Linked DNA regions of Alligator mississippiensis. The protein of the gene in region 1 purifies or fractionates together with the protein of each later gene. This does not show direct contact. Links are inferred from orthologs where the notes say so. Each region holds a gene or a part of one and is shown in the gene's direction. Other genes may lie near its edges. The genes, in order: WDR5, ATN1, HDAC1 and HDAC2.

Evidence for each region.
Region 2: the proteins of WDR5 (region 1) and ATN1 purify together in Homo sapiens (affinity purification with mass spectrometry; 4 studies listed by BioGRID and IntAct, counting the BioPlex papers as one, with this or other methods). This does not show direct contact. The link is inferred for Alligator mississippiensis from reciprocal best matches to the Homo sapiens genes WDR5 and ATN1.
Region 3: the proteins of WDR5 (region 1) and HDAC1 purify together in Homo sapiens (affinity purification with mass spectrometry; 8 studies listed by BioGRID and IntAct, counting the BioPlex papers as one, with this or other methods). This does not show direct contact. The link is inferred for Alligator mississippiensis from reciprocal best matches to the Homo sapiens genes WDR5 and HDAC1.
Region 4: the proteins of WDR5 (region 1) and HDAC2 purify together in Homo sapiens (affinity purification with mass spectrometry; 7 studies listed by BioGRID and IntAct, with this or other methods). This does not show direct contact. The link is inferred for Alligator mississippiensis from reciprocal best matches to the Homo sapiens genes WDR5 and HDAC2.

What each region holds. Positions count from the first base shown.
Region 1 is NC_081835.1:61,654,234-61,661,768, forward strand, and holds the start of WDR5 (WD repeat-containing protein 5), read left to right. Parts: upstream 1-4,525; 5' UTR 4,526-4,616; coding exon 4,617-4,697; intron 4,698-6,106; coding exon 6,107-6,215; intron 6,216-7,535.
Region 2 is NC_081824.1:244,060,574-244,068,272, forward strand, and holds the start of ATN1 (atrophin-1), read left to right. Parts: upstream 1-4,686; 5' UTR 4,687-5,175; intron 5,176-7,699. UniProt on the Homo sapiens protein: Transcriptional corepressor. Recruits NR2E1 to repress transcription. Promotes vascular smooth cell (VSMC) migration and orientation. Corepressor of MTG8 transcriptional repression.
Region 3 is NC_081829.1:5,643,998-5,651,197, forward strand, and holds the start of HDAC1 (histone deacetylase 1), read left to right. Parts: upstream 1-4,183; 5' UTR 4,184-4,254; coding exon 4,255-4,303; intron 4,304-7,200. Other genes in the region: tyrosine-protein kinase Lck, read left to right, coding at 534-665, 968-1,170. UniProt on the Homo sapiens protein: Histone deacetylase that catalyzes the deacetylation of lysine residues on the N-terminal part of the core histones (H2A, H2B, H3 and H4).
Region 4 is NC_081824.1:99,432,498-99,439,910, reverse strand, and holds the start of HDAC2 (histone deacetylase 2), read left to right. Parts: upstream 1-4,404; 5' UTR 4,405-4,432; coding exon 4,433-4,487; intron 4,488-7,413. UniProt on the Homo sapiens protein: Histone deacetylase that catalyzes the deacetylation of lysine residues on the N-terminal part of the core histones (H2A, H2B, H3 and H4).

The sequences.
Region 1 (7,535 bases):
GGGCAGCATCGTTTAGGGGGAAAACATCATTGTGTTTGTCACCGGGGATTAAATCGTGTACGTCCAGCCCCAAACGCTCAGCTTCGTCGCCACCTGAACTCTCTCTTTCATACAGCAGCAGATATCAACTTCCAAATCCATAAGTCGCTGTCCGGTTTTATCTCCCAATGTGCGGATTCCTCCTATTCCTTTGCAAAGTTTGCAGCTTTCGATGAAGCGCTGCGCTGTCTGTTGAGCGCCGCCTTCGCGCAGGACCTGGCTGCCCAAAATGCTCATCATGCAGAGCGTTGTTTCGAAGCGTCCGTCTCCAGATCTCAGCCCGTTCAGCGTGACCTGCGCTTCTCTGTCAAAGCCGGGCCCAGTGCGGGACTCCTTTGGCATCGGTATAAGAGGACTAGGTCTGGTGCTTCCCAGCGGTTGACCCATATGTTTGGTGTAGCATCCCCAAACTCTTCCAGGAGCTTGTGGGCTTCATGCATAAATGATTTATGACTTTTAAGCCTCCTCTATATGGGTTTTTAGTTAACAGTTGATGAGGCAGGTGGTTTTCATTTGAAACAAGCCGTCAGGGAGACACTGAAGATAATTGCTAAAGAAGGCCAGAGTGGGCTGTAGGACGCCAACACAGTCGCCAGATGCAAACGGGACCCAGTTGAGCAACGGTTTGGACTGGGCAGGCGCATTTTGCACGCCTGGTTACAGTCATGGGAACAGGTCTGGAGACTCCTGGCCTCCTATCGATGCACAGGCCAGATCCAGCAAGGCCCAGAGCAGCACGTGCACGGCCCCACAGCTTGCCACAAGGCTGGGTCCGGTGAGGGCTGTCCTCCCTGGGCTCGGCGGCTTCCCCTGTTCTGCTTAGGCCAGGCCCGTGCCAGGCGCCAGCTGGGGAAGATGTATCCTCAGGACGCAGGCGGGCCGGGCCAAGCCCTGCACAAGCCCGGAGATGGGAGTGCGGACGCGCGGTTGTGCGGCGCGAACTGTGTAATGGGTTTTTAGTGTGGTTTGAGCTGCCAAGTGAACCACACGGGTCACATGGCAGTGTTGGAGGTGGGGGTTATATCTATCTGTCTATCTATCTATCTGTCTATCGATAGATACATCTCTATCAATAGCTATATATCTATATCTATCTATCTAAATATCTATTGGTATCTATTCATAGGTATATATTTATCTATCGATACCTATCTATCTATGCATATCTACATATATCACCATATTCATAGGTATATATTTATCTATCTATCTATCTAAGTATATCTCTATATATCTATCACTAACTATTCATAGGTATATATTTATATATCTATATCTATCTATGCATATCTCTATCTATCACTATTCATAAGTATATATTTATCTATCTATATCTATCTATCTATCTATGCATATCTACATATATCACCATATTCATAGGTATATATTTATCTATCTATATCTATCCATCTATGCATATCTATATCTATCACTATCTGTTCATCGGTATATATTTATCTATCGATCTATATCTAGATAGGTCGGTCTAGATAGATATTTATATCTATCTATAAAAATACATATTTTTGCAAAAAGTCAAGTAAACCCCCCTGCCCAGCCCCAGTGGGAGCCACATTCCTGCCCCACAGGCCCCTGAGGGGCTCATGGGGGAGCCCGGCTGCCCTCTATGAGAGCACTTCTGGGGCTGACACTCCCCGCCTCCCCTGCGAGGGGAAGGGAGGAGAAGGAGTGAAAAAAAAAGCAAAAAAAAAAAAAAAGGGGGCGCCTGTCTCTTTAAGGCGTTGCCGGCGCGCTTGCCTTTTCTGTCCCTTTCCCCGCGCCGTCCGCGGCCGGCAGCGAGCGGCATTGTGCGGCCCCCCGCGCTCCGCACTGCGCAGGCGCCGCCTCCCCTTCCCCTCCCCCGCCTGGCGGCCGCGAGAGCCGCCGCGCCCCCCCCGGCCCCGCGCCCCCCCCTCCCCCACCGGTGAGTGTCGTGTGTGCCCCCCCTCCCCCCCTTCGCGTGTCTCCCGTCCCGCCGCCGCCCGCGGGGGCGGGGGAAGAGCCCGGGCCCGGGGAGGGAGGCGGCGTGTCCTCGTGGGAGCCGCCGTCCGGGCGGTTGGGGGGCCTGTTTTGACCCTTTGACTCCCGCCCTTCCCCCGTCGGGTTGGGGGGTGTTGTAGTTCCCCCCGCAGGGAGCGCCGGCGGCTCCGGGGGGCCGGGCCCACGTGCGGCACACGGCACCTGGGTCGGACACCCCCCCCCCCCCCGTGCGACCCATCAGCACGTCTGTTACCCGCTGTGTCGTGAGACACACACGTGCGTGTGTCTGTGTGCGTGTGGCGGGGGGGCTGGAGGTTGGGCTGAAAAATTAATGTGCTGGGGGGGACTGGTGGAGGTATGGTTTTGCACTGGGGGGATGGGAGCTGGTTTGGTTTTGTACTGGGGACCAGTGGAGGTGTGGTTTTGCACTGGGGGGACTGGTGGTGGTATAGTTTTTTACTGGGGAGATGGAGGTGGTATGGTTTTGTGCTGGGGGGACTGGAGGTGGTATGGTTTTGTGCTGGGGGGACTGGAGGTGGTATGGTTTTGCACTGGGGGGACTGGTGGAGGTATGGTTTTGCGCTGAGGGGACTGGTGGAGGGGTATGGTTTTGTACTGGGGAGACTGGAGGTGGTATGGTTTTGCACTGGGTAGGGACTGGTGGAGGTCTGGTTTTGCGCTGGGGGGACTGGTGGAGGTATGGTTTTGCGCTGGGGGGAATGGAGGTGGTATAGTTTTTTACTGGGGGGACTGGTGGAGGTCTGGTTTTGCGCTGGGGGGACTGGTGGAGGTCTGGTTTTGCGCTGGGGGGACTGGTGGAGGTCTGGTTTTGCGCTGGGGGGACTGGAGGAGGTATAGTTTTTTATTGGGGGGACTGGTGGAGGTATGGTTTTGCGCTGAGGGGACTGGTGGAGGTATAGTTTTTTATTGGGGGGACTGGTGGAGGTATGGTTTTGCGCTGGGGAGACTGGTGGAGGTATGGTTTTGTACTGGGGAGACTGGAGGTGGTATGGTTTTGCGCTGAGGGGACTGGTGGAGGTATGGTTTTGCACTGGGGAGACTGGAGGTGGTATGGTTTTGCACTGGGTAGGGACTGGTGGAGGTCTGGTTTTGCGCTGGGGGGACTGGAGGTGGTATGGTTTTGTACTGGGGGACTGGTGGAGGTATAGTTTTGTACTGGGGAGACTGGAGGTGGTTTGGTTTTGCGCTGGGGGGAATGGAGGTGGTATAGTTTTTTACTGGGGAGACTGGTGGAGGTCTGGTTTTGCGCTGGAGGGACTGGAGGAGGTATAGTTTTGGGCTGGGCGGGGACTGGAGGAGGGAGGCATGGTTTTAAATCGACAACGCAAGCTGTTCAAGTTCGGGCACCGCTGGTCCGCAAGGGTCCGATTGACACGCTCCCGTAACGGATGCCGTTTTCATCCAAGAATGGGTCCCCCGTCCCTTTTTGACCCGTGTGTGCTGAGCAGAAATGCCCAAAGCCAGTCGATCCTCGTGAGCGCACCCAGCGTGGATGCAGAAGTAGGTTTAGACATGGTACGTAGGGAGCCTTGAGGCTGGAAAGGTCGAGTGTCGCTGCCCTGGGCGGTGAACGAAGCAAATGGAGCTTGTTGTCGTCCTGCAGAGGAGTTCAGGTCCCCAGCAATGTCCGGGGTGGTTTCTTGCCTCCTCTGATGCAACAAAACCCTCGTGTCTGCCGGTGCTTCTTGTCCTGTTGCTGATACAGGCGTGAGAAATAACCCTTTCCCCACCACCGCAACCCCTGTCATCCAAATGATACAGTCCAAAAAAGCCATCCCAGGCACTCTTGTCCTTGTGCGGTGTAGACCCCATCTTCAGGAGGTGTCGTGTTTACGACCTCCCCTTTTGCCAGGGCGGGGCTGGCCGACCTGTGACGAGCGGCGTGGGGCTAGGCAATGTGATGGCAGGGAGCAGAAAGCCGAGCAGCAGGTCAGACAGAGTTGCACAGGGTGGGGAGCAGAAAGCGAAGCAGCGGATGAATCGGAGGAAGAGGATTATAGTGGCATTTGGGGAGGGTGTGGGGCTGGTTTCCTAAAAGGTTGGACACCACTGTGCTACCGATTTAGCAGTCCCGGTGTAAATGCAGCAGTCGGTTTCACGGATCAGTGATACAAAGAAAAAGAATACGTTTCTGCAGCTGGGGAAAAAAAGAGCGTCAACACCATCCGGGTAGCACAAGGCTTGATGGATCAGTTTCCTTTATGAGAAGGGAAGTAGGGCGTGCTGTTGTATGCTGTACAAATGTATGGGCATGAAGGCATAAACACCCTGTTGCGTTGGTGCGCATTTGTTTGTCTCCGTCTGCAGCATTCGTCTCTCGGATACTAGTTGGAATCGTAAGATGCTCTTTGCATCGGTTTTCCTGGGGGTGGGGATTACGGTCATTATGCGCTCGTGAATGATGCTTTTCTAGGTGCTGAAACAGTGTTCTTTTGTGGTTAACGGTAGTGTTGAATTTTCTCCTAGGTTTGAGATCCCAGTTCTGTTCTCCTGTCAGTGGGAAAGGCTCCCTTTTGAAGCAGCACATTCATTCATCCCTTCAAGCACCATAGGTCTGACTTGCCAGCTTCAGAACCATGGCAACAGAAGAAAAGAAACCAGACGCAGAATCCACCAAAACACAGTCGACTCCTTCCTCTTCAACCAATCAGAGCAAGGTGTGTGTAGGTCTCTGAACAATATCCTGAGTCTGTAAATACACATGGGAGCTACCTATGGTTTTTTTTTTTTTACAAGCAAACTGGGATGAGGGATTTTAAGGAAAAGTTGAATTCTGAAGGAATTCCTCGGGAATTTTTCTGGGTTTGTATAGGGCCAAGAACATGCTGAAGGCTTTGGGGGCAAGACTGACTATGAGATTCCTGGATTTACCCTGAAGAGCTATAATTTTGTTTTGTCCGTATAACGTAACCTCTGCCTTGCATCACTTGAGTCCATTATGGTATCCTGAATTTTTGCAAGCAGTGAGAAAATTAGAGAACATGTTACAGAGCATGCTTTATCGTTGCAAGTGTCATTTGACCTTAATTCAAACGCTTCAGGGAATTACATGTAGCATAGTATATCTTGTAATTGTTGTAAAATGGTAGTGAGAGAGACTTATGAGTAATGTCACAATCCTCTCTGAGAAATAAAGATGTCAGGATTTCTTGAAATACTTAATGGAGTTGCCAGCTATCCAACAGGGATCCAGAAGGCCCGTCAGATGTTTGGTTTCTGTAACTGCTTCTGCTGCTAGTGACAGTTAACACAATCATTGCAAGAGGTCTGTCATCCCAGTGTCTGGGTGTTTTTGCTGAAATGATCACCAGCCAAAAAGGTAACACTGGTATGTAAAGATGACTTGCCAAGGAGAAAAATGGCCTTGTGCTCCTCCTATCTTATGATCATAGAGTCCGAAGGTCTTCTGTACCCATGGAGGACTGTAAGGAGATTAGAAAACTGATCAATTTGTGATATTTCAATGGAAGGGGGATGGAAATAAATAAAAAAATCACCTGTATTCAGGCATGGAAAAATTTGATTGTTGTGGGAAGAGGATGTCCTCATTAAGGATTAACTCCCTTTTCCCTCCTCCATTCCTTCAAGGCGTGAAGCTTGCAGTGCCCATCTGAAATCCTGCTCTCTGAGGAGTCCTTCAGCAGCACTAGAAAAAGTCAGGTGTCTTGCTGAGGTTTAAGGAGATGCAAATGGTCACAACCCTAATTTTTAAAAGCGTTTGGCAGGTCACTTGTAAATCCTGTATGGAGTGTGGCTCAGCTCACGCTTGTGGGCCAACTTTCTGCCTGTGTGGCTGACTTGGATAGATTTGCATCTCAGATAAATTTAACTAGTTGTTTTGAGGATGTTTCTCTGTAGGTCCAGTAAAGCAGCGCTGAGCCAGATAATGTAAAAAATATGTTCCCCTGTAAATACAGGGCTACGCCTTTTTTTAATAGATAAATCCAGACCGCTGTCAGTGATCATGCTGTACATCCCTGTGTCCTGGCTTGTTAGATATCCCAGTTAGAACTGAAACATTGAATTAAGTATCTACTTGACTTATTTGAACAAATCTTTCTTGCAGCCTGCACCTGTAAAACCAAACTATGCTCTAAAGTTCACGTTAGCAGGACACACTAAGGCCGTCTCGTCAGTAAAGTTTAGTCCAAATGGAGAGTGGCTAGCCAGTTCCTGTAAGTATCAGTCTGTCTTAATGCTTTCCTGTTGTCTGAATTGGCCAAATGTGGATCTGGCATGTTAGACAGCTTGCTGACCGTATCTTAGTGCTACCATGATCAGAGGGAGGGAGAAAACAATCGTCTAGCTCTTTAAGCTGAGTAAATGACAAAACACGACCTGCTTAGTATTGCGTGTGTGTCATGGTGTATTATATCCTGGATTGCCTCTGCCCATTGCCAGACCAAAAGGGCTTGGGATGCTCCTCTTACACTGCTGCAGAAACACAGCCAGGATAACACACACAGATTGTGGATAAATGTGAAATTAACTGCAGTACAGAGAGGATCTCATCCAGCCCTCCCCGTTACTTAAGTTCCAGCTTATGCCTTTAAATTGGGCCTTGCTTGGCTTGATGCACATGCTGTCTGGCAGTGAATTTCACTGATCATTATTCTTTGTCTTCCTGTATTGGAACGGTAATAGGAAAGAGCCTTGGAGAGTCGAGTCATCTCCATTGCACTTTGTTACTTATAAGAGAGGAAGAGGCAAGAGGGACTTTGAAGGGAGGAATTTAGCGAGCTTTTGCCCAGAACTCTAAACCTAAGCAGTAGATCAAGTTCTCTTCGTGCCAGCCTTTGATAATGGTGAAATCTCTCTGGTAAACTTGCAAATGCCTGACAACTTCCCTCTGGAACAAAAGGTGCATGCCTGGGAAAGAGAGGAGAGGGGCAACTCGGAGGAATGCTGTTGAACACGCAGATGGCCACTGTAAGCCCCACACCCTCCAGAAATGGCAACGGTTCTGGTCTGTTACTTGATCGTGCTTGCCTTTATATGGGCAGCAAACTGCAAAGAAATTAATTTCTTACATTTTTTGTGATACCTTTTTAAAAAGGTCATTTCTCACTCCCACCCCAGACATTCCTCCTGCTTTAACATCTGGCAAATATCAAGCTTTTTCTCTGCTGTGGATCGCAAGCTAATGTGATGATGAATAGCGTGTTTTGTTTCTCACAGCTATTAGTCAGCCCAGTTTCTGGATTGGTTTTTGATCTTCCTGGGGCGTAAGCATTTCAGTGGCCCTTGTGGGGATGGTAGCTTTTTCTGATGAGCAGTGTAATTTTAAAAAAGCAGAAGCCAAAGTCTCCACTGGAGAAATTAGAACCGTTTGAGACCCTTTACATTGCAGTCACCGTGTCTGATCTTAGCTCCTGCAGTCTGGCATACGTGAAACTGTGTCATTAGCATTTACATTTTGCCTTCTGTACCGAAATCTGTGCTTGAGGGTAAAAACTATTTGGTGTCTCCAAACAACTATCCAATATGCTGCTTTC
Region 2 (7,699 bases), on another chromosome or scaffold:
ATTAGGGGCTGGGGGCTAGGGGTTGGAGTGGGCTCCGCTGGCTCCAGGACACTGCTCCACTCCCCTGCTTCACCTCAGGGAGCAAGGAGGCATATGGCATCAGGGCTGGGGAGTGGAGCACTTCCCCAGAGCCAGCAGAGCCTGCACCAGCCCCCAGCCCCAGCCTCTATCCCTGCCTTGCCTCACCTCAGGGAGGAGCCACTGCCTGCCCTGAGTGAGGCTCTGCTGGCTCAGGGGAAGTGCTCCAGGGCTCTGTCAGCTCCGGGGAAGTGCTCCACTCCCCAGCCCTGATGCCACGTGGCTGCTTGCTCCCCGAGGCAAAGCGGGGGAATGGAGCAGTTCCCTGGAGTCTGTGCCAGGCTCCTGCCTCCGCCTCTGCCTCACCTCTTGGAGGAACTTACCATCATGTAAGTGTCCCACGCTGCAGCCCAGCTCCTATCCCAGCGGGTGCACAGACTAAAAAGTTTGTGCGCGGCCAGCCTTTTACTTGTGCGTGGTCGCGTACGCGCACCTTAGAGGGAACCTTACTTGCAAGCCTATTGAGGTTGGCCTGGATCACAAACCTATCCTCAAGTTTGGAGACTCTTCCCCAAAGTTTGGTGTTGTCAGCTAACTTGGCCAGTCTGCTTTTGCACCAGTGTCCAGATCATTTATAAATACATTAAAGAGTACAGGTCCAAGAACAGAGCCTTGGGGGACGCCACTCGTCACTGAGTGCCATGTTGATTCAGTTCCATTAACTACCACTCTCTGGGTCCGACCTTGGAGCCAGTTCTCCAGCCATCAGATTGTGGAGTAGTCGAGGCTGCAGTTGCCCATTTTTTCCATGAGGACATCATGGAACACCGGGTCAAAGGCTTTTTTGAAGTCCAAATATATGACATCAACCTCTTCCCTCTGCCAGTCAGTACACCTGCCCCCATTCTCGCAAGCAACAGTTCACTAAAATTCCTTGGGCACTCGGCTGGGGGGCTTGAATGGGGCCATAAGTGGGCAGGGGGAGGCATCCGGGAGCAGGATGGGTGGGCAGCCAGGGCCAGGACTGGGATTGTGGGATGGTGACTGCATGGGGCCAGGGCCCTGGGCAGACCTATGATCCACTACTGACGTCCTTGCAATGGGCACTGGTTCCAGGCAGGGGCATGTAGGGAGTGGATCGTGGCTCTGTCCCCAGCTCCAGCCCCGCACTGTCACTGGCTAGTGGTCCCAAGGTCTCTATGGAGACCAGCCGGGACCTGTGTGGGCAGGGCAAATGTCTAGACAGACAGGATGAGGCCACCTGTGGGCAGGAAGAAGCATCCGGGGCTGGGATCTTGGATGGTGATAACTTGGCACCAGAGCCAGGGGCAGAGCTATGATCTGCTCCCCACAAGTCCCTGCCCACAGAACCTACACTCGTCATGGGGCCGTGTGGGCAGCAGATTGCAGCTCTGCCCCAGCCCCATGCTGTCACTGCTTCACAATCCTGCCCCGTGATCTTGACCTCATCTGCCTGTCCTGCTCCCAAATACCATTTCCTGCCTGCCCGTGGCCCCATCCCATCCCATCCCATCCACCTGGCCTGCCTGCATGGGTCCTGCCCCCAGTGTTGGGTGCAGGGCAGATGGGCTGGGGTGCCAAGGCAGTGGGGCTGGGCCCAGTGGTGGTGGCAGCTGGAAGGAGCCACCGCCACTGGGGTTGCTGGGAAGTGAGTCCAACTACTGCACCGCTCCAGCCCTGCTGGGTTTCTGAACTGACTGCACATGCCACAGCCTGGGCTGTGCCCTGAGCCTGAGCTATGGGACCTGCCACAGGCTGGACAAAATCCCTTAGTGGGTCAGACAGATCCTACTCTCAACCTGTATTTTGCCCACCTCTGAGGTAAAGGATGGTCTCATGGAGAATTAGACTGTATTTTTACCTTTGCCATAGAGTTCTTATGCGATGTGGAGCAAGACACTTAATCCAGGTTTTCACTGGTGTCCCTAATGCTTGGAAGAAGATCATGAACTTTTGCCAATCTACCTCATTATCCTTCTTCAAAAACCTCATTAAATATGATGCCTACAAAAATTTGACAGTGGTTAGGCTGTTAGAGTTATGAGACTACTGCCTTTCTTTCTGTCCAATATCATCTCATTATTTCTGGCATTTCCTTTTGAATCTATCTATATCCCTCTAGGCAGGGATATTTCTTCTGTTCTGTATTTGTTCAGTACCTAATACACTGGGATCAAGGCCCATGAATGGGTCTTCTAGGTTCAACAGCTATACAAATGTATTCCTTATTTTCTGGGGCCTAACTTGAAAAAACACTTGGACTCTGATAAGTACAGGAGACAAGCATTCACAACCATGCTTTAGAATAGATAAATTAGAGGAGTGTTCTGAACAGATAACGTGCTATTAATTGCTAGTACTCTGAAAAGTCAGACCATTTCCAGTTGGTCACTCCAACTATATGGACACTTCTGACAATTTTAGTATTAATCGTTGAGCCTTAGTTCCCTGTATGTGAAATAGGGATAATGGTAGCTTACAGGAATATTAAAAAGATAAGTTCATTAACATTTGTAAAGCATCCAGATATTATGGTGATGAGCATCATTGAAAAACCCATGAGAAAAGTAATAATTCTGTGTTCATTGCAGGGTTTGGATGCCGTACAGTAAATAACGCTTGGAGCCACATAATGAATGATGAAGATAAAAATAAATATTGGCTATCCATTCAGTGAGTGCTGTTCAACCTGTGCACAGAAAGAAGCAGTAGTCCTGTGGAAAAAATAGAATGTGATAGTAAAATTAAAATCAGAATACATATGCATAAGGGTCCCAAATTAAAGTTGTACTGGCAACCTTAATTCTAGCACGTCCTAATTTTCAAGCACTTGACTTGACAATCTGGCATTCTTTGGGGTTTTCTAGTACAGTAAAATATCATTATAACGTTAGAAACATTATGGCACAGTTTGAGGCCTCTATACGTGCACTTAAGGAGCTATTAGGTGTTGCTGATAGGAACATCCTTATCTACTGAACTTAATCCAGCCAATGAAGGGTAACATGGTCTTGGTCACTTGCACTCTTTCTTGCTCAAGCTCTCTCTCCCTCCCTCTCTCTCTCTCTCACACCCACACACTCATGCATACCCACACACACACTGACCCACCCAAACACACGTATGTGCATGTGCACACCTACCCACCCAGACATGTGCGGATGTGCACACACCCACACCCACCATTTCCTTGTGTCAAGGACTGACATCTCCAGATGAAACCAATGGGAGCAGAATCAGATCCTTCTCTCTCTCTCACACAAAACAAACATCATTAGCCACTTCATTTAATTACAACCCTTTCTCTCCAAAATAGTTAGAGCATGTATTTTCAATAAAATTGAATTCTGGGGATTGTATAAAGAGGCCTTTTGAAGCAGAGGCATGAAAAGAAACACCTGATGAAACCCTAAGACTGAAAAATTCAGGGTCATTTTTAATGACGTATAACTCAAGCAGTCTTTTTGCTGAGATGAATTCAGCAGTCTCATAAACCTCCTTTGCATTGGGAATAAAGGTGGCAATTTTCAAATTGAAATAATTGGGAGGCTAAAGGAAGGCCTGGGTTGGAAGCTTACTGCAACCTTAACTCGGGAGAAGCTCCCCACTCCATAATAAATGGTGTTTTGAGGATGCCACCAATGTATTTTCACTCCTGTTCACTGTGTGGGTTTATCGTTTTGGACTGGAATCTTGTATTTTCTAAGGCATACAGCTCTTGGGCCTCGTTGCCAGCTGCATATATTTATCCGTTCTTTCTGCGTGTGCCTGCCTCTGCTCCTCTCCATCCCTCTCCTCCCCACAGTCTCAGGTACAAAGGCGCGGATTGGGTTACAGGCTTCTCCATTCTTGCAGGGCTGAGAGCCCTCTCTTGGCCTCCACACTATAGACTCTCCCTTTGTGCCGTTGCTTGGTAACTGGGAAAGGGGGATGGGACAGGCTCCAGGAGGGAAAGATGGAGAGGGGAGGGGGGTGAGCAATTGAAGTGTGTGCAGTTTGTGTAATCCTTCAGGCAGACTCTGAATGCTGATTAGATCCAGGCCGGTGAAAGCAAAGGCCAGGCATGGAGCTGTGGCCGGCCGGTTTGCACAGGCACCGCTGACCGGGCTGGGGGAGGATGCCGGCTCCAGGCACACCCTTGGCGCTGGGAGCGGCTGCTCAGCGGGTGGCGGTGCTGGAGAGCGGCCGGGAGGGCGCCAGGCTCCAGCCCCGACCCGGGCAAGACAGGGGCGGGCAAGTCTTGAGGCCGGAGGGGGGGCCTTGGCTTGTAGGGCGCCCTACAAGACCCCTCTCCCTCCCCCCGACTCAAGCCTGGCTTCAGACGGGATTAAAGGGGGCCGCCTCCCGTGGGCAGAGAAACAAGCTCTCAGACCCGCACCCTGTGGCCCTGGCGCTCCTAAGGTGCCGCCCGCCCGCCTGGCCCGGGGCTGGGGGTGCAGGCCGGGACTCCCGCTCCGGAGCGATCCAAGCCGGCTCTTCCCTCCCTTTCCTGATGCTGTTGCTCCCGGGTCTGTCTTGCCAAAAAAGCTCCAGGCTTCTCCCATTCCTTTGTACTGGGGCTTGGGTGGGAGGGGGCTTGCGGGGAGCCCGAGGAGTGGCACTGAGCCGGGGAGGGAGGCTGAGGGGCCCGGGGGCAGCAGCCGGGCCTCCACCCAGGGGCCCCGGGAAGGGGGGGCGCCGCGGGGCAGGTGAAGGCTCCCGCCGCCCCGCACTGCGTGTGCGTGTGTGTGCGCGCGTGATCGAGGGGGGGCAGCTGGGAGTGGGGCGCACCCCCTCGGCCCCAGGGGCGGGGGCTGTAGCGGGCCGGCCCCCCTGCACACACACGCACACGCACACGCCTCCCTGCCCCTTCCTCCCTCCCGCTGCCGCGCGGAGCGGCAGGATTCCTCCTCCTCCCCCGCTCCCCCGGCGGGCGCGGGGCGAGAGCCGCGGCGGACTGGGATGGCGGGCGGCGGGGCGCGGGCGGGCGCGGGGGCCGCGCGGCGCGGGGGCCGGGGCCGGGGCCGGGGCAGAGCCGCCGGCGCCTGAGCGCTGCTGCTGCCGCTCCTCCGCCGCCCCGGCCGGGCCCTGCGGCCGCTCCGCCACCCCCGGCGAGGACGGGCGCCTTCCCCTGCAGCCGACGGCTCCGCAGCGCCGGTGAGTCCGCGCCCGGGGCGAGGGGCGGGGGCGCGCGGGCAGCCCCCAGGGGGAGAGGGCGGCACTCCCTGCTCCCCCCGCAGCGGGGCCGGGGCTGGGGCCGGGCCCGAGCCGCGCCACAACAATGCTGGACAAGGAGCAGCAGCCCGGGCTGCCGCTGCCCGCGGACACCCTTGGGTCTCACTTCGCGGCGCTGCCTCTGCCCGCCCGGGCCGCTTGGGGAGAGGAGAGCGCAGCGCGGCGCCCCCCGGGCAGGACGGAGCTGCTGGCCCGGGCGCTGCCTCTCCGCACGCGCTTCAGGGCCCCCCCACCCATTCACTGCAGGGGGTGCCCCAGGGAAGAGACCCGGCCTGCAAGTGGGTTGTAGCCTGGCTTTCCTGGCCCCTTTGACCCGGCTTTTCTGGCTTCTCGGCTGGGCCGCTCATGTGTTGAGGGCTCGGCCTCTAGTCTTGTGCCTGCTGCCCCCATGGCTGGGGCCAGCCAGTTGGGTTTTGCAGGGAGCCCCCTGGGCTGTTAGCTGGGGATCCTCTTGGGCATGATCCCCTTTGGGCCACCTGCCCTTTTGTGCTCGGTGACTGTCACATTGCTACAATGCGACTCACTTGCTGGTTCTTGCATTAGCCCACCATCATTATTGTTTATCACTGAGGTGTATTTGATTGCCTTTTCTGGTGGCCATTGTGCCATCTCCGTGTTGACAGAGTTGCTATTGTGCTGGTCAATGAGCCGTGGTAGAGATCATCCTCAAATCGAAGGACTGCCGAGGACGACGTTTTGGCCAACCTCTTAGCATTATTTGCTTTTTTTTCCTTTGTGCTCTGGCTCCCTTGGCTGTTAGTTGCCCTACTGTTACTCTGATTGCCCCATGCTTCGTGGCCAGTAGGGCTCCTCTGCCCTTTTCTGGTTCTTCTGGAACACTGAGTCCTTACACAGCTTCAGTATCTCTGGCCCCAGTTGTACTGGGAGGATTGCCTGAGATTTGATGTGCCTCCTGAAACTGAAGGAGAGGGCAAAGACGACAGGGACCTATGGAGAGGGGAGAAAATGGCGAGTAATGTGGTTTGCATGTATGTGCATTCAGAGGGGTGTGCGCTCAGTGTTGGCCTGAACAGTGGAGTACTGTGTGAAGAATTGAGATGCTTCATGAGTGATGTATTTCACATTAGATACCAGGTTGAAGCGTTAATCTGTTGTGATTGTTAAAGTTCCCATCACTTTCTGCAGGAGTTGGGGTGCTAACCTCAGTGCTCCCACCTCAGTGCTCTCTATGGTAGCTTGGTTCTGCCTGCCGAAACCGCCCCATAGTTGTTGTGAGATTCAGTGCTCTCTTTCACTCCCTGCCCTTTACCATTGTGCAGCATTGCTGTATGACTGTTAAAGAACTAAATGCCCTGTACCCCAGAGGTAGACAAATTTAAATAAGCAGATGAAGTCACTCCTACAAAATCCTGACTGACATCAGGGGGGAGGTTGTGAACAGGAGCTGGTCAAATGATTTGTTGGGATTAATTTATCTGAGAAATATCACTCTTTTCTCCTTGGACTGTGTCATTATTTTCACATATGTTACTTATGATTATGTAACAAATCATCTGTGAGAATAAATGTTGGCCAATGGTTGCTAATGAGCTGCTTGAAAGGAGAATTTGCGCCATGTGGTGAGACCTCTAAGTCACAGATGATGGTTTCTGTTTCCTGATTGGAGGATCTGGTCTTCCTAGGCAGGAAGACCTCTTTTCTCTTTGTGGTCTTGGGGAAATTGTTCGAATTCTTGACTGAGCTTTTCAGTATGGCTCTGAAGGAACCATAAAGCTCGCTGGTAACAATACATCTCACCCAATCATTTGCAAATTTAATGTCTCATGAATCCTAATGAAGGGGTTCAATGGGTTTAATCTGTTCTAGTATTTTTCCTCCTCAGGCTTTGCTCCCCTCAGGCAAATTCAGTGGGCCCTTTTATCCCCACCTTATGGCTTGTCTACACAGGAATACCAGTATAGCTCCCTGTTTGGGCACTTTTATTCCTGAATACCAGGGATCAAAAAGGAATGAATGCAATATGACTATAGCTGCATTCCTATACAGGTATAATTACATCAATACATTTTCTCCTGTAGAACAGCGCTTACCTGAGCTTCACTGAGCCAGATAAGTTTGGCTCTTCTGATCTCTTCTGAGGGTTCAGTCCCTGTAGCCCCTTGTGTCTTTCTTTAATTCTTCACTGAGTTCCCTAGAGTTTGTTGTCATCTTTCTGGATTGTGGGTTGTAGAGCTAAGCACAGTATTCCACGTGAGGTCTCCCCACAGCTCTATAAGGAGAAATGACCTTCTTCCATCTTTGGGTCAGAGGAACCCAGATCAGAGTGCAGTATTCAAAGAGCTGTAGAGGGAGGGCTTGTCTCTTCTTTGAACTGAGACAATAATGGACAGACTCCTGTGTCACTGCACATGCCCACACAGCAGTTACCTGACCATGGATTTGCTATATTTGGCATTTATAGTTTGCAGTCCTTTTCCATGTGCAG
Region 3 (7,200 bases), on another chromosome or scaffold:
TAACCCAGGCCTAAGAGGGCATCCCTGAAGGAGTGAGGGAAAGACAGCTTCCCCTAGCATGGGGCAGGAGGGACTTTGAGGTGGGGCACGTGACAGTGGGACTGCTGCTTTTTGCAGAAAGGGACATAGAAATTAGTGAAAGGAATAGCTAGGGCTGGGGCTAGGAGAAACGGAGGCCCCCTCAGACCTGTGAAAGCAGCAGCTAGAGACATTTCTAATACATTCTCTGGAGCAGAGGGGATGCTGTGCTTGGCATTAGTTGCAGGAAGCCTGCCCAGTAATCCACATCAGTCTGAGACTAGAGCCCTATCTGGTGGCTATCTCAGGAATAGGCATCATTAAGAGCCCAGTGATGGCAAGACATGCCAGGGCTGTGGGTGCACCACGCCAAGGGAGTTTCAGTGAGGGCAGGGCGCAAAGGGATATGCAGGTGACGTTCAAGCCCGCACATCAGCTTTGTGGGTTTAGGGCAACAGCAGTGACCTTCTTCCTTCTCCTATCCCCCGTCCCTCTTTCTCCTTGTGTATTTTCAGGAGCCAAATTCCCCATTAAGTGGACGGCACCCGAAGCTATTAATTATGGTACATTCACCATCAAATCTGACGTCTGGTCCTTTGGGATCCTCCTCACAGAGATCATCACCTATGGCCGGATCCCCTATCCAGGTTAGGATTTTTCACAGCAGTGCAGCCTGTGCCTGCAGTCAGATCAAAAAGACATTGGAGCTGACAGGGGCTGGGTGTACCTCCATGCCCCCACACTGACCAGCAGAAGGTGCTCTACGACACGGGGGTGGTTGCAAGGGCCGAGAGTTACCCTGGTTTCAGACTCGGCAGAAGGCACTGCAGGGTGGCTGGCTGCAGGAGCCGGCCGATGCTCCTCTACTCCCAGCAGAGGTCAGCACCGGTATATGGAAGTGGCTCCCTTCCCTGGCTGTTTCTGACTGTTATGTGTGTTGTATGTGCAGGGATGACGAACCCAGAAGTGATACAGAATTTGGAGCGGGGCTACCGAATGCCTCAGCCAGATAACTGCCCAGAGGAGCTGTACGAACTGATGAAGAAATGCTGGAAGGAGAGGCCAGAGGACCGCCCCACCTTTGAATACATGAAGAGTGTGCTCGAGGACTTCTTTACTGCCACCGAGGGCCAGTACCAGCAGCAGCCATGACAGGATGGGGCTGGAGGCATCCTCGTGTCAGGATGGGCGGAGGGGAACAGCCCCTATGCATTAGCTCCTCAGAAACTTTATGCAGATCGGGCCTTGGCATTTGGATCACAGCAAACGCTGGCAGGACCTCAGCAATCCCTCCGTCCATAGCAAAGACGCGTGTTCCTGGAGCACGCTCAGCCAGCAGACCTTGCCTCAGAGCAGACCGGAGGCACTGAACTGACAAGTGTTTTGACCCAAGATGCTGCTAGGTCTCTTTCTGAACTCCCTGTGCAAGTATGCACGTGCTACTTTACCCATCTCAGTGCCATGTGCACACTGGCCTTATGTTCACTCACAATGCATCTGTCCAGATAACCACACAGATACACGGCCACGCAGGTGGTCACTGCCTAGACCATATTCGTTCCTGCGGGCCTCGACACACCCATGCTATACAGAGAGTGTACTCCTAGCAAGAGGCACTGTCAAGTCTTATAAACTTCTCTTCAGCAACTATAATCACAAATTTGATCTGAAAATAACATAGGGAACCAGCTCACTTACAGTCTCAGATAATGCTCAGAATACAACAACAATTGCACTGGATCAGCTGGACCCCATCTCAGCACTGATTTTCCACAAAGAGATGCTCAAAGGGCTACAAAGTGGAACTCCCCATGTCCCTTCCACCCCCAAGTTCCCCCTGCAATATTTCTTTGGTGGTTTTTTATTCCTTTCTGTAGTGGAGATGGATGGTACATCAATGCTAAGGTGTTTTGCATGGATGTGCCAGCTGTGTGACTGGAAGCTGTCCAAGGCTGGGGCTGTGATCAAGGCATGCAAATAGCTGCACTCACCACAGGTACTGTAGAAGGACACAGGGCCCATTGTGCAATGCAACAGGGGCAAAACCTCTTCACATGAGAGCTCAGATCCCTGGAAGATGGTGTATAGGACACCACTGTCCATGTCTGTTGGTCCCAGGGTCACCAAAGCAGTCATTCTCTGCATTGCTGACATCTTTCTTCACTCTGAAACCACACTGCTGGACTCTGACTAGCGCCGTTCACACCAACAACCTTTTAGAGAGTTTGGTAAAGTAGTTATCAGATTCAACCATGTTATGAAAGGGAGAAAGGAGTTTACAGTCAGGAAGAAAAAATGCTGATTGCAGCTCAGAAGATCAGGCTAGATACAGACTTTCAAAAAACCTGAAGCGGGAGCGACCTAAGTTGCGTGGTTTTCAGTAAGCGGCGTAGGTTAGGTCAGTAGCGAACAGAACACGTTCCCTTTTTGATGTGGGGGGAGGGCAAATCTTAGACTGGGGCCCGCCAGTTTTAAACCAGTCTATGTGTGTCGAACTTCTGTTATGGGTATAGGCTGGTTTCTAATCACTTCGACTGGTAAAAGTGCAATGTCTGTATATGGTCTCACCCAGTGAGAAGCAGAGATGCACAGGACTCTGCTCCAACCAGCAAGACTGCTTTGGTTACCCCAAAGCCCAGACACTGGCATTTTATAATATACTTACAGATGGATTTGAACAACACCGTTAGATCCAGAACTGGACCCTCTCAGAATTGGCACCAGACCAGTGGGGGTGGGAGTGTGAGGCTCTAGGTAGGCCCATCAAGGAAGGGTTTCAGCATAGTCTCACTAAAGGCTTGCTCACCAGAAACCCACCCAGAATTTTGCTTTAGGAATGAGCCATCTTCACTGTAAGATTTTTCTTTCTCCATTTCATTGTAAAGCCCTGTCCTGTATTGCTGTTTTACTTTCATTAAACAACAAAGTAATCATGTGGCTCCATCCGATCCGTGGCAAGGAAGATCAACACATCCTAATCACACGCTGGGGGTGCACAGAGCTGAGGGTGGGGTCCTGTCATGCCGAGTAAAAGGTGGTGGACCAGCTGGCCCTGCCTTCTGCTGCTCGGGCATCATGCAACAGCAAACCTACTTGGGGTCTGAGTCTCCAGGATCCTGAGTCTCTTGTGTAAGTGTAGGGCAGGGGTTGTCTCAGCACATCAGAATCGGACCCTAAGCACAGCAACCCTTCATGTTTCACAAGAGACGTGACACCTGGCGGGATGGCTGAGGGGAACCGGCAGGATTAGGATTTGCAGACGGGCAATGCTGGCATCCCAGGGAGCTGGTGCGACTCATGGGGCAGGCAGGGAGTTTGCAAGGCTGGCCCTGCAGCCAGGGAGCCATTGATGCTAAGTGGAAGTGAGGGTGCTTGGGCAGGTGGGATCCAAGGGAGTATTCAGCCCGTGGCAGGGGCTGAGGGGTGCAGCCAGCACCTGAAGGGTGGCGTGGGACGTGGGGCAGCACTGGGCACACCAGGAAGTGAGATACCACAAAATGGCTGACTTGTTTGGCACCAGTTCAACACATTGCTCCCAAGCACACAGCTGGAGCCAGGGGCCCCCCCCAGTGCTTTCCCACAATGCACTGCTGTACTCACCCCCTGGTAACCAGAGACCCCTAGGCACAGGGCTGTCTGGCCAGGCCAGATGTGCAGCAATGCTTTCCCACAATGCACTGTGGCACCCACCCCCTGGTAACCAGAGACCCCTAGGCACAGGGCTGTCTGGCCAGGCCAGATGTGCAGCAGTGCATTGTGGGAAAGCAGTAACAAGGGATGCCTGTGCAGGCAAAGAGCACGCCATGGAGGCAGGGGTCAACTGGTTCAGTCCTGTCTGCTTTGACTGCCTCTACCATGGGCATGGTACACTCCTATCTGACCCCCCTTCGCCATTCTTGTAGAATGGTACATCCCGATGTACCCAGACCCTCTCCTAAGAGAACCGTCCACCCCCCTTCTCCGGGATTGGTACAGTCCTGCCAGCCCGTTCCTTCCACGGCGTTTGCTCTCTGAATGGTACAGTCCAGGAAACCTCGCTGCCTACCTACCATGCTGCCCCCTGGCTCCTCCTTCCCTACCTTCTGATTGGTCGTCTCGAGAGCACAGGGCTAAAGCCCCTCCCCGATAGGTCGGCTGTCCCGCGGGGGCGGGGGGAGGTGGGTTGTGGGGTGCCTTGGCCCCTGGGGCAGGTTCGGTTGAGTCGCGAAGGGTCTGTCGCTGTCGGGAGGCAGGAAAATGGCGCTGACGCAGGGGACCAAGCGGAAAGTCTGTTATTACTATGATGGTGAGCGAGCGGGGTGCACGGGGCGGGGGGCAGCAGGAGGAGGGGCTGCAGGGGGCTGCCCTGGGGGGCACGGAGGGTGCTCCCTGGATGGTGGGGGGGAGGGGCGCCCCTTGGCTGCTGGGGGGGAGGGGCACCGAGGAGGGGCCCCTGGCTGGGGGGGAGGGGCGCTGAGGGGAGGGGGGGCCTGGTTGGTGGGGGGAGGGGCGCTGAGGGGAGGGGGGGCCTGGTTGGTGGGGGGAGGGGCGCTGAGGTGGCCCCTAGGGGGCGCCTGCCTGCATGGGGGAGCATCGAGGAGGGCTCTGGTGACACCTGGCTGAGGGGGGGACGACACTGAGCCGTGCCCTGTGGGGTGCCTGGCTAAGGGGGGCACTGAGGAACATCCTAGGGGGTGCCTGGCTGCAGGGGGGTGGTGTTGAGGGCACCTGGTAATGGGGGCAGGGGCACTGAGGAGGGCCCCAGCGGGGGCCTGGCTTGGGGGGGCCCTGAGGAGCTGTGTGGGCGAAGGGAGCCCTGAGGGGGTCCGAAGGAGCAGCCCCCATGGAGGCCTGCGGGTCTCTGAGGAAGGTGCCGCAGGAAGAGGAAGTGAAGCTCTTCACAACTCCTGGGTGTGCAAGGATGCATCGAGACAGCCTTTCCCTCCGCACCGGGGAGCTGCTGTGACACGGCTTGTGATTTAAGGCCTGGCAAAACTTGGCGGGACTGTAGATGTAGTGCGTGTGTGCAGGGATCCAGGCTTTGTGCTGCTCTGGGCATCCCGTGGGCCTTGCCCAGGTAATGGGCTGACCGAGGCAGTTGGCTCTTTCCCGCTGCGCTTGCAAAGGGAGGGATTGCAGTCGCTCTGCTGTGCACGTTCGCTACCGCACGGATGGCCGGGCTGTCTGCCAGCAGGGGGAGGTGTTTTGGGAGAGGTGCATCGATCTGCACAAAATGGATCACGTCGTCCTCCTATAGATGATAATGTTTTTAGTAGTGGAAGCTGGCTAAAAATAGCTGTTCTCGTTTGGTTTGCTTTGGGGCCAGAGGATGTTTTCAGTCATCATCCAGACTTGGTTGTCTAAATAAATTCATTCAGTATCTATTGGGGAATTTTCATCACTCTGGTGTAGTAACTTCCAGTACTAACTGCTGATGTTGTCAGGAGATCCATGCCTTTGACTTTTGCACAGCGTCCCATTGCCTGACGTCCCTCGGCACCCTAGTTATTAACCTACACCCTGCACCCCGTTGCTGTTTTCTCATGGTTTTTGTCCCATTGGCCTTGCTCTAGTCATTGAAGGGGGGCTGTTAGTTTCTGGTGGGCATAGGCCCACCATCAATATATAACAAATAGTTTTTACTTGAGGGGTGTTCTGCACAGGGTTCTCCCCATGCCCGTCTTGGTGCTGTGCATGGACCATAGGTCATTTGCAGTGATGCGATTCTGATTTCCTCACCCCGTCATTCTACTTTCCATCGCTCTGAGCAGCTCTGTCTGTGCACGTTTGATATTAAATCAGAATATTGGTGAGCTCCCAGTGCTGAAACTCGGATGAAAACTTCAGGGTCCCTGGAAATGCTGGTTTATGTTCCTTGCACTTGAGGAAACACTTCACCTACTTAAGTAATTCAGATATTGCATGAAAATGTCTGTGTCTGGAGATCCTTTTGTGTTTAGAAACATATAATTGGTCATCAGTGCATGAGCCTCTTTGATTATTAAGTGAGGAACTAGGAGGCCCTTCTGCAGTATGTGTGTTTCTTCCCTGCTCCCCAGCAAGATAACTAATGCGTGCTAGTTGTTTGCACACGAGGTAGCTAAGTGACAACTGTATTTGATGTTGCTAGTTTACCTCCTGGTAAAACTGGATAATTAACTATCAGTAGTTACCTTGTGGTAAAAACATTCCTTTTTATTGTCAGTTAACATGCAATTGAACATGCTTCAAGTCCATCTTATTTTAGGGCTCTTCCACACAGGGGAGCTAGTGTGGAATAATCTTGGGGTGAATTTAAATTGCAGTAGCCATTTTTTTTTTTTTTTTACTGCGTGCATGCATGCACTGGCCTTGCCCAAGTAGGCCACCTCATGTTCTGGCAGCAGATAACAGTGGCAACCATGAAAGCCTGTGCACACAGATGTGCTTCTGTGGCTCTTTGCAGCTCCACTCTGCAGCCCTGCCACCAGAGAGAGTGCAAGCACACCCTGGCAAGGCAAAAACTACGCAGCTGGCAGAAGGTGCTGGATTGTCTACATAGGCCTTCAGCTTGCTGCCAGGTGGAAGCAGAAGTCTTATTCCTTGGCAGAGGTGGAGTAAGTGCAAGCAAAAGGGAGAAATTGTGCCATCACAAGGGAGACTTGGTGTGAAAGTGCTTACATTTTTGCTTGCAGAACTTTGTAATGTAAACTAGACCTCTTATTTAAGGCTGATAGTGAGGAATAGCTACTGTGCTTTAAAGTCACACCCTAGAATTTTCCATGTTTAGTTCCTCTTTAAACAAATCCTTGAAACGGCAGATATGTCCACTGCTGTAAAAGGGAAATCTGGTAACTTAATTTTGTTTAGCAAAGTAAAAACCTCAAGATACGATCCTCAATTCAAAGCATTTACAATCGGTCTTCTGTATTTAATTGAGAGCCCAGGGCATAACTGTAACAAGTGGCTGTTTTCTCCTGGGCTCCTGTTCGTTTAGCAGTTAGATTGGGGCTTCACAAATATTCCCTAGGGAGACTCTTTAGCTTTTTCTCTGGTTACCTTTAAGCCTTTTTTATATTTAAAATTAACCCTACCTTTAACATGGGTGCTGTTGCCTCCATACAAGATTCTGTTGTAAGCAATGAGAACTGCAGTTTCACTCCAAATCATGTTAATCTCCAGTGGAGATTGTGTCATTCTTTGTCTATCCAGAGACTTGTATTG
Region 4 (7,413 bases), on another chromosome or scaffold:
AGCAGGGGTGGCAGGGACCTCCACAGGTCATCTAGTCCAGTGGTTCTCAACCCTTTCTGTACCAGGATCCATTTGTAAATGTTGATGAAGTGTCTTAATCCAGTGCCCCTCACTTCCGACCTGCTGCCCCCACCCCAGGCCCTAGTCCCCCAGTGTGGGGTGGGGGAAGGATGTGAGACATGGGGATCCCAAGCAGCCCCTGGCAGCCTGGAACTCTGCCAGCCTACAAGGGAAAAGCCATGTTTCCCATGTTTTTCTCCTTTAAAGGAGAATCCGTTTCTAAAATTTGTTCATGACCCTTTCATATATTCTTGCAACCTACTTTTGGGTCACAACCCACAGGTTGAAAATGCTGATCTAGTCCAATCCCCTGCTTGAGGCAGGATCAGCCCTATCTAAACCATAACCTAAACTCTACAGAAGCCTACCATCTTCTCAATTCCCTATTGGCCAGGACGATGCCTCTAAAACCAAATAGCTACTTTCCCCACACTTCTGTGCAAGCCCCTTATAGCAATACAGCTTCGTATTCACTGCGGGGGGGACACTACTTTGATTGGTGCAGTTGCATGTGATGTATACGTGTGCTGATCCTTGGTTGTGCTGATCCAGGGGTGTCAAGCTCATCCAGCCCAACAGGCCAGCTGAGTGGCTCGGGGCCCAGTCCAACCAGCCTGTCTCGGAGAGGCCAGAGTGGGTGCCTGCTCCGGAGTCACGGTGCACATGGCAGCTGCTCTGAGACGTGTGCTGGAGCGGGCACCACGAGTGGCACAGCCCTGGAGTGGCAGGAGTGGGCAGCTGCCCCTGGGTCCACGCCGAGACCCACGGGAAGCACCCGAGGGTGGGATGCCAGCACAGTTTGAATTATGGGGGAGGTTGGGGGCTGGGGGGCGTTGAGTGTCTTTGTAAGATTTGAAAATCATAACTTGTAAGCATCTCCAGGTACCATGATGGGCAGCCCAATTTTTGCAGCCCCCCTCCCAGAAGTAGCATTGCCAACTCTTGACTAAAGCTGTTCTGGAAGATTACCCCTCCCCACAATGTGACATAGCATCATTACTTTTATTTTCTGAAAATCTCTCAGATTGCTTTCAACAGTCAAGGAGAGATCAGGCCAATACGGGAGGGTTAGTGACCCTACCCAAGGGTACTTCGTACCCCAGATGTACAGCTGGACCCGGCCCCCGGGCTCTCTTCGAGGCTGCATGGTGGCATGTAGGAAGAACTGAAACGCAGGGCGGTGGGTGGCCGCCCCCGGGAGACACGCTGCGTGGGCCCCCCATCATTGCCAGGGGGAGACGAGGCTCAGGGCCTGGTGGGTCCAGCCTGGCCGCCCCCTTCACCTGCCTCTGCCCGCCCCGTCGCCTCCAGCCGCCCCTGGGAGCAGGGCGGGTAGACCCCCCGCGAGGGGACCAAGGGGGACCCGCTCCGCCCTTCCCCAGCGTGCGCGGGAGGGGGCGGAGCCACGTGCCGTTACCGCCCCTCCCTCCAGCCACGTGACGCAGGCCAGAGGCAATAGAGGGCCTCGCGCCTGCGCTTCAACCCCCCCCCCCATTAGGGAGGGGGTGGGGCAGGGCGCGGGCTGTACCACTGCGTGCCGCCCTGGGGGGGAGGGCAGGGAAGGCGGAGCTCTGCGCCGAGTTCACAAGTGACGGCGGCGCTTCGCTCTTTCCCTGACTCTCTCTCGCGTCCCCCTTTCCCCCCTCTCAAGTCTCCTCATGCGTTAACGGGAGTGGGGGAGTGACAAGGAAACGCCTTTCCACGCATCCCCCCCGGCGGGTGCAGAGTGGGCACTCCCCCTCCCCCCCTCCCGCGTGCCGCGCGCTGGATGGTCGGGTCGCTGCGCTGCCCCCGGCCCCGGTGTCGCCGCTTCCTCCCGCTCCCGCCCGTCCGCGCGCCGACGCTTCCGTCCCCCCTCCTCCTCCTCCTCCCGGCCTCGCGGCGGCAGCCCCATGGCGTACAGTCAGGGCGGCGGCAAGAAGAAAGTCTGCTACTACTACGACGGTGAGCGGGGGGGAGGGAGCTGAGCAGTGCCCCCCCCCCGCCCTGCCCCACATAGGCGCGTCCGGGGGGAGGGGCTCGAGCTGCTGCCGCGCTTCACTGCTTCACGGGGGGGTGAAACCGCGGGTGTCTGTGCGTGTCTGCGTGTACGCGGGGGGTGGGCGTGTGTGCACGTTTGTATGTGAGAGTGCAGGCGTGCTAGTCTGCGTGGGGGGTGAGAGAGTATGTGTCCGTGCGTAGTTGTGTGTGTGCAAGGTGGGCGAGGGAGGGAAAGCATCGTGTGTGTGTGCAAGGGGGGTTGGGTGCCAGTGCATCTAGGCATATTCGTGCATGCGTGTCTCACATCTGTGTGAGAAGGATATGTATTTGTGTGCATGTGTGTAAGGTGTGTTTGCATATGGGTATCTATGTATGTGCCTGCGAGTGCTTGGGGGGGGCGGGTAGGGGGTGAGGTATCCAGGTTGTAGCCGTATTGGTGTAGAAGCAAAAGGAATCAAAACTCATGACAAAGGTGATATCTTTTATTAGACCAACTAGATATTTGCAAAAATGGGTGGGGGGCTGAGAGCACGGGTGTCTGTGCACAGTGTGTTTGTGAAGCGTGTCCGAATGCTTGCACATGTGTATTTCTGTGTGTGTCTCCACCAGCCGGGTTTTCACCTAGCTAACAGCAGCAGCTGGTTTGATTGGCCCTAGCCAATCACTTTTATTTTTCCCTCTCCCCATCAAACCTCCCAGCCCTCTGAAGCTCGTTGTCCTGTATGAAGGACCACATTATCAGGGTTTAACTTTGTCTTTGGCACAGCTAATTAGACTCAACTGCTGTTTTAGGTTCATGTAAAGGAATGAGGTTGTCTTGGTGCAGTGAGCCCCCAGTATCCCACCTTAGACCAGACAACTGATTTTTAGCCCCCGACCACTGCAGGAAGAGGTGCGAGGCAGGCCAGAGGCAGGGACACACTGGCAAGCGCCACCGCCCTCCCTTTAGTTGTATCCTAGATGCCTCAAGACAGAGCCCCAGGGTCTTGGGCTCCCAGAGGCAGGTCCTAGCTAGCCATGGGCTAGACCCCTAGGCAGCCCCAGTCACAAGTGTGTGCTCCGCTCTCTACTTTTACTTGTCTCACTATCCTAGAAACACAGTGCCAAAACCCTTCACATATCCTGCCAAGTAGCATCTGCATCTGCTCCGGGTGAAACGCCAAATGGCCTATGAAACTGGCTGGCAGGAGTGGTACTGGCAGGGTGCATGCTCAGGCCAGGGAGATGGGGGTGTCGGTGTGTTCAGAGAGCAACGCCTCCTGATCCATTTGATCAGCAATGCCAAAGCTATGATCTCAAATTTATATCTAATTTCATGTTTGCATCAGTTCCTCCATCTTTGGTTCAAGCCATAGAAAGAGAGGGGGGGACGTTTCCCTACAGCTAAACTTTTATTGGTCAGATCAGCTGCAAATGATTTGCTTATGTCTAATTTTCCACCAGAAACAATCTCAGAGAAGCTGGGAGTGGCTGTTGGGGATGGGCCACTATTCTGGTGTTTGCAGTAGTGCTGGGGACGTTGAGCCTGCTTTGCGATTCTTATTTTTTAGTCAGCTACTGTTTAGGGTTTTAAGAGCCTTGGCTTTAGCGCAAGGTGATGCCAAATGCGTGCTGGTGTGGCAGATATGTCTGCCGCTATTCAGAAATGGCAGATCTGGTGGGGCCTCTTCAGGGTTTCTAACATGCTAAGTGAGGCTGAGTGGTGGTTGCCGCCCCCTTCTCTTTGTTGCTTGCTCTGGTTCTTTGTTCAGCATAAGGGGGGAAAGAGGCCACTGTTAGGGAGAATTTTGTTGAAGCTAGGGTACGACTTCCCTGGAAAAAGAGTAAATGGTGTTCTATCTTGGCAAAAAGATATTTCAGAAGTGCTCTGTATGCTGTATTTGTATATCTGCAGCTAATTTAATAGAATTGTTTGCAAAATATGTTGGGAAAGCAAAGTTTGCTTGATAAAACTAGGTACCCTTTTGCTAGAGCAGTGGTTCTCAAACCTGTTAGCCTCTGGGCACCCCTCAGGAAATACCAGCTCTTAGCTTTCCCTTGTTTTGGGACAATGGAAAAAATAATAGAGGAATTATTTTTGTTGCAAATAACTCAAGTCCAAATGGTTTGGACGCTTATGGATTCCAGTTTTAAATCTCTGGGTTTATCTTGTGAATTGTGTAGGTGTTTGCATATGTAATAGCGGTGTTATTGCATGGAATCCTTAAAATGATCTCATAGTACCCATGGTTAAGAATTATTATGCTCGAGTGGAATATTTCTGGCATTATAGTAGTGTAACAATTGCAAGCACTGTTGCTTGAATCCCTACATAGTAGATAAACTTATCTTGGTGAGACTTTAAAAAAGTGCTAGAGTAAGGAACAATTTTGCACTGGCAGGATGCTGAACTATGATCCCGTTGATCTTTGCTACTTCTGATTTACATGAAAATACACATTTGCTTGGTGAGTCCATGGACTTTTTTTACGTGGCTGTTTTGTCTTGCTTATTTCATATTTAATTGGCTCTGTATGGTCATCTTTCTCTATGATGATTGCTCTTCCTAAATCTTTCTAAACTATAATGTTTTGAAAGATGCAAGTTGCTAAAAAAACAATTGTTGAAAGATTTTTTTGGTTGATTAACTTGTATGTATAGACAGGAATGAATAGAAGTCATAGGCTAGAGTGAGTATAATTTAAAACTGGACAAATGTGTTCCTTCTATAATTGAGCTGTCTTAGAAAAATTGCTTATTTTGCAGTAGGGAACTGAAAAGTATTAGAACATTTCTAATAGCTGGTTTGTTAGCACCAGATCTAATAAAAGACATAAGTGCCCATAAGCTAGGCCTTTTAAATGTCTGGAAACTTGACTTTTTGGGTGTCTGGAAAGTGGAATCTGAAGTCCAGGATTAAGACCTTAGTCTCTTTTATACAGTATGTAAGGTTAAGGTACCTTGGGAGAGCAAGTGAAAAACCCTGCTGCTGAGTAAGATGCCACTTAGGGTTAGTCTGAATGAAATGCTAAGTTCATACGTGTCTGAATGTGTCTTTCTCTCTGAGTTTAAATTACAACCATGGCTCCAAGGTTGCCTCTGTTTACTCAGGAATCAGAGCTTTGAACATGTTCCTGGATAGGTGCTTATAAAAATTCAAGGAACTGAGGGGAGCTCAAGCTGCTCATGATGTGGCTGATGGAAGTGATGATGATGGTGCTGCTGCCCTGCTGTTACAGAATAGCCGACTTGTTAGGGCATTCACCTAGGAAGTTGGAAACCTGCGTTATGTATCCTTCAGCCCAAGTGGGTCAGACATCTCCTGCTACCTAATGGGCTGCCCTAACTACTAGGCTAGAGGGCTTCTTTTGAAGCTGGGCCATTACACAGAAAGCAATGCAATATTCATAGAGCCAGGAGAGAACGCTAGAGGGAATGTCATTTCATAGCAGTGGGTCTCAACTTTTTTTTTTTGTTAGATTCGAGCAACCTTTCCGTAACTTTTGTTTTAATGTGGTGGCACCTTAGTTGAGAACCACAGTTCTGTTGTGCCTCAGTTTACCTCAGTGGTTCTCAACCAGAGTGCTGATGCCACCATAGCCAGGTGGAGCTTCCTGGTATGCCTTGAGTAGAGCCAGGTCAGGGAGGGCTATGACAGGAATGCACACTCCTGCCTGCACTAGGTTTACCCAATACGTCTAAAGCAGGCAGGAGTGTCTGTCTACTCTTGTCCCAGTACTTCCTGGTCCTCCTTCCCCTGCCACTCCTGCTGGAAACAGGTGGCTAAGATGGTTCCAGCAAGGATCAGACCAGGAAGGGCTATAGCAGGACAAGGCACCTCTGCATAGGTTTATCACATAATCCTAATACAGGTGGGGGCACATGCTTGTGCCGCAGCCCATTCTAATCTGGCCATGCCCAAATCATACAAGGCAGTTCCACTTGGCTGAAGTGGTAGCAGTTCCTCTACCACATCATCCCAGTTGAGAACCTCTGCTCTTATCTCCTAATAGGTTAGGCTGTCACCTGAGAGGAAGGAGTCTTGAGTCCTTGGTCTCAGCATTATTTCTCTCTCTCCTTTAGTCCAGTGACTTTTTTAAGTGACATGTATAAAAAGTCATGGAAGAGAGAGGAGGAGAAGGTAGCATTTCCTTCTGGGCTACCCTACCTCCTAGGGCAGAGTCCTGCTCCCTCTTGTTTGCTTTCCTGATGCAGTGAATTTGGTGATCTTTGCTGCTGAGTGGTTCAGTTTTAATTGGTCATATGAAAGAAGCCCACACCCAGCCTAGTATATATCCTGGTGTTTCGGGCCCTGATCTGGGTGGTGGGAGGTGTGGATTTGAATCCCCTCAGACGTGAGGGCCTGTATCCCTGATCTGCTATTTTCTGTTCTCTTTTAACCTCTCGTTTTTTGTATAATAATTTGGTGATCCTGCCCTCTTTTCTCGTGTTGCCACGTTTTTCATGGAAAGTGAAGGTGGCCATTGTGTTTTGTGCTGAATGCAGTTCTGTTAGTGTTTCTGAACCTGCTTGCTCAAGCTTCTTTGAGGACTTAAATGTCAGTCTGTCTAGTTTTTGAGTCTCAATGAGGCATATAAGACCTAGGTGTCTGGCTGCTCAGGGCAGGGCAGTTTTGGTCACAGAAGCACCATTGCAAGTATCTAGTGAATTTTCTGATCAAAAAAAGGGAGGTAGCCCATGATTTCTGATACCTTCATGGTTAGGTGGCCACTGAGAAGGAGGGTGTTTTTTTTTATTGCAGTTTTTGGACCAGATGCACTGAGTCCTGTTTTGGGTATCCTCACTCCAAAAGGAATTAATCTGGCCTCTAGTATTTATTTGTATAATGCCAAATGACAGCAGTTATTTCAGATTTCCTTCTAAAAGATATTGGTCAAAATTGCTTTCTTAGAAATCAAAGCAGTTCTGTATCTTTTGGCTAGTTAATTTAAATGGCCAAATAATGCATAGATCTTAATAACGTTTTTTAGCCGTAGGGAAAGTTTAACTGTTTTGGGAGGAGAGAGGAGATGCCCAGAAGCTTAAGTAACCAAAAATTAATAGTATAAAAATACCCTAAACTATAGCAGATAAATTAGTAACTATCTCTTGGTGCATGGCATGCAAACACAATTAGTTTTTATTTATGAGAATCTTTTATGGCTGCATGGAAGTTTCTGTATAGAAGTAAACTCTTCTTTTTTTAGTTTTATTTTCTATTTTCACTTTGCTTCCCTGGAAATAAGCAGCAGCAGAGTAAAGAATGTACATCAGAAAATCCACAATAAAAGGGGTGCCTTCATAAGTGCTATAGTTTAATGTGGCGTATTTTGAGTTTTAAGACTAAATCTTAGTTGATATCTACTGGTGTGTCTAAAACTCTTCCTGCTTGAG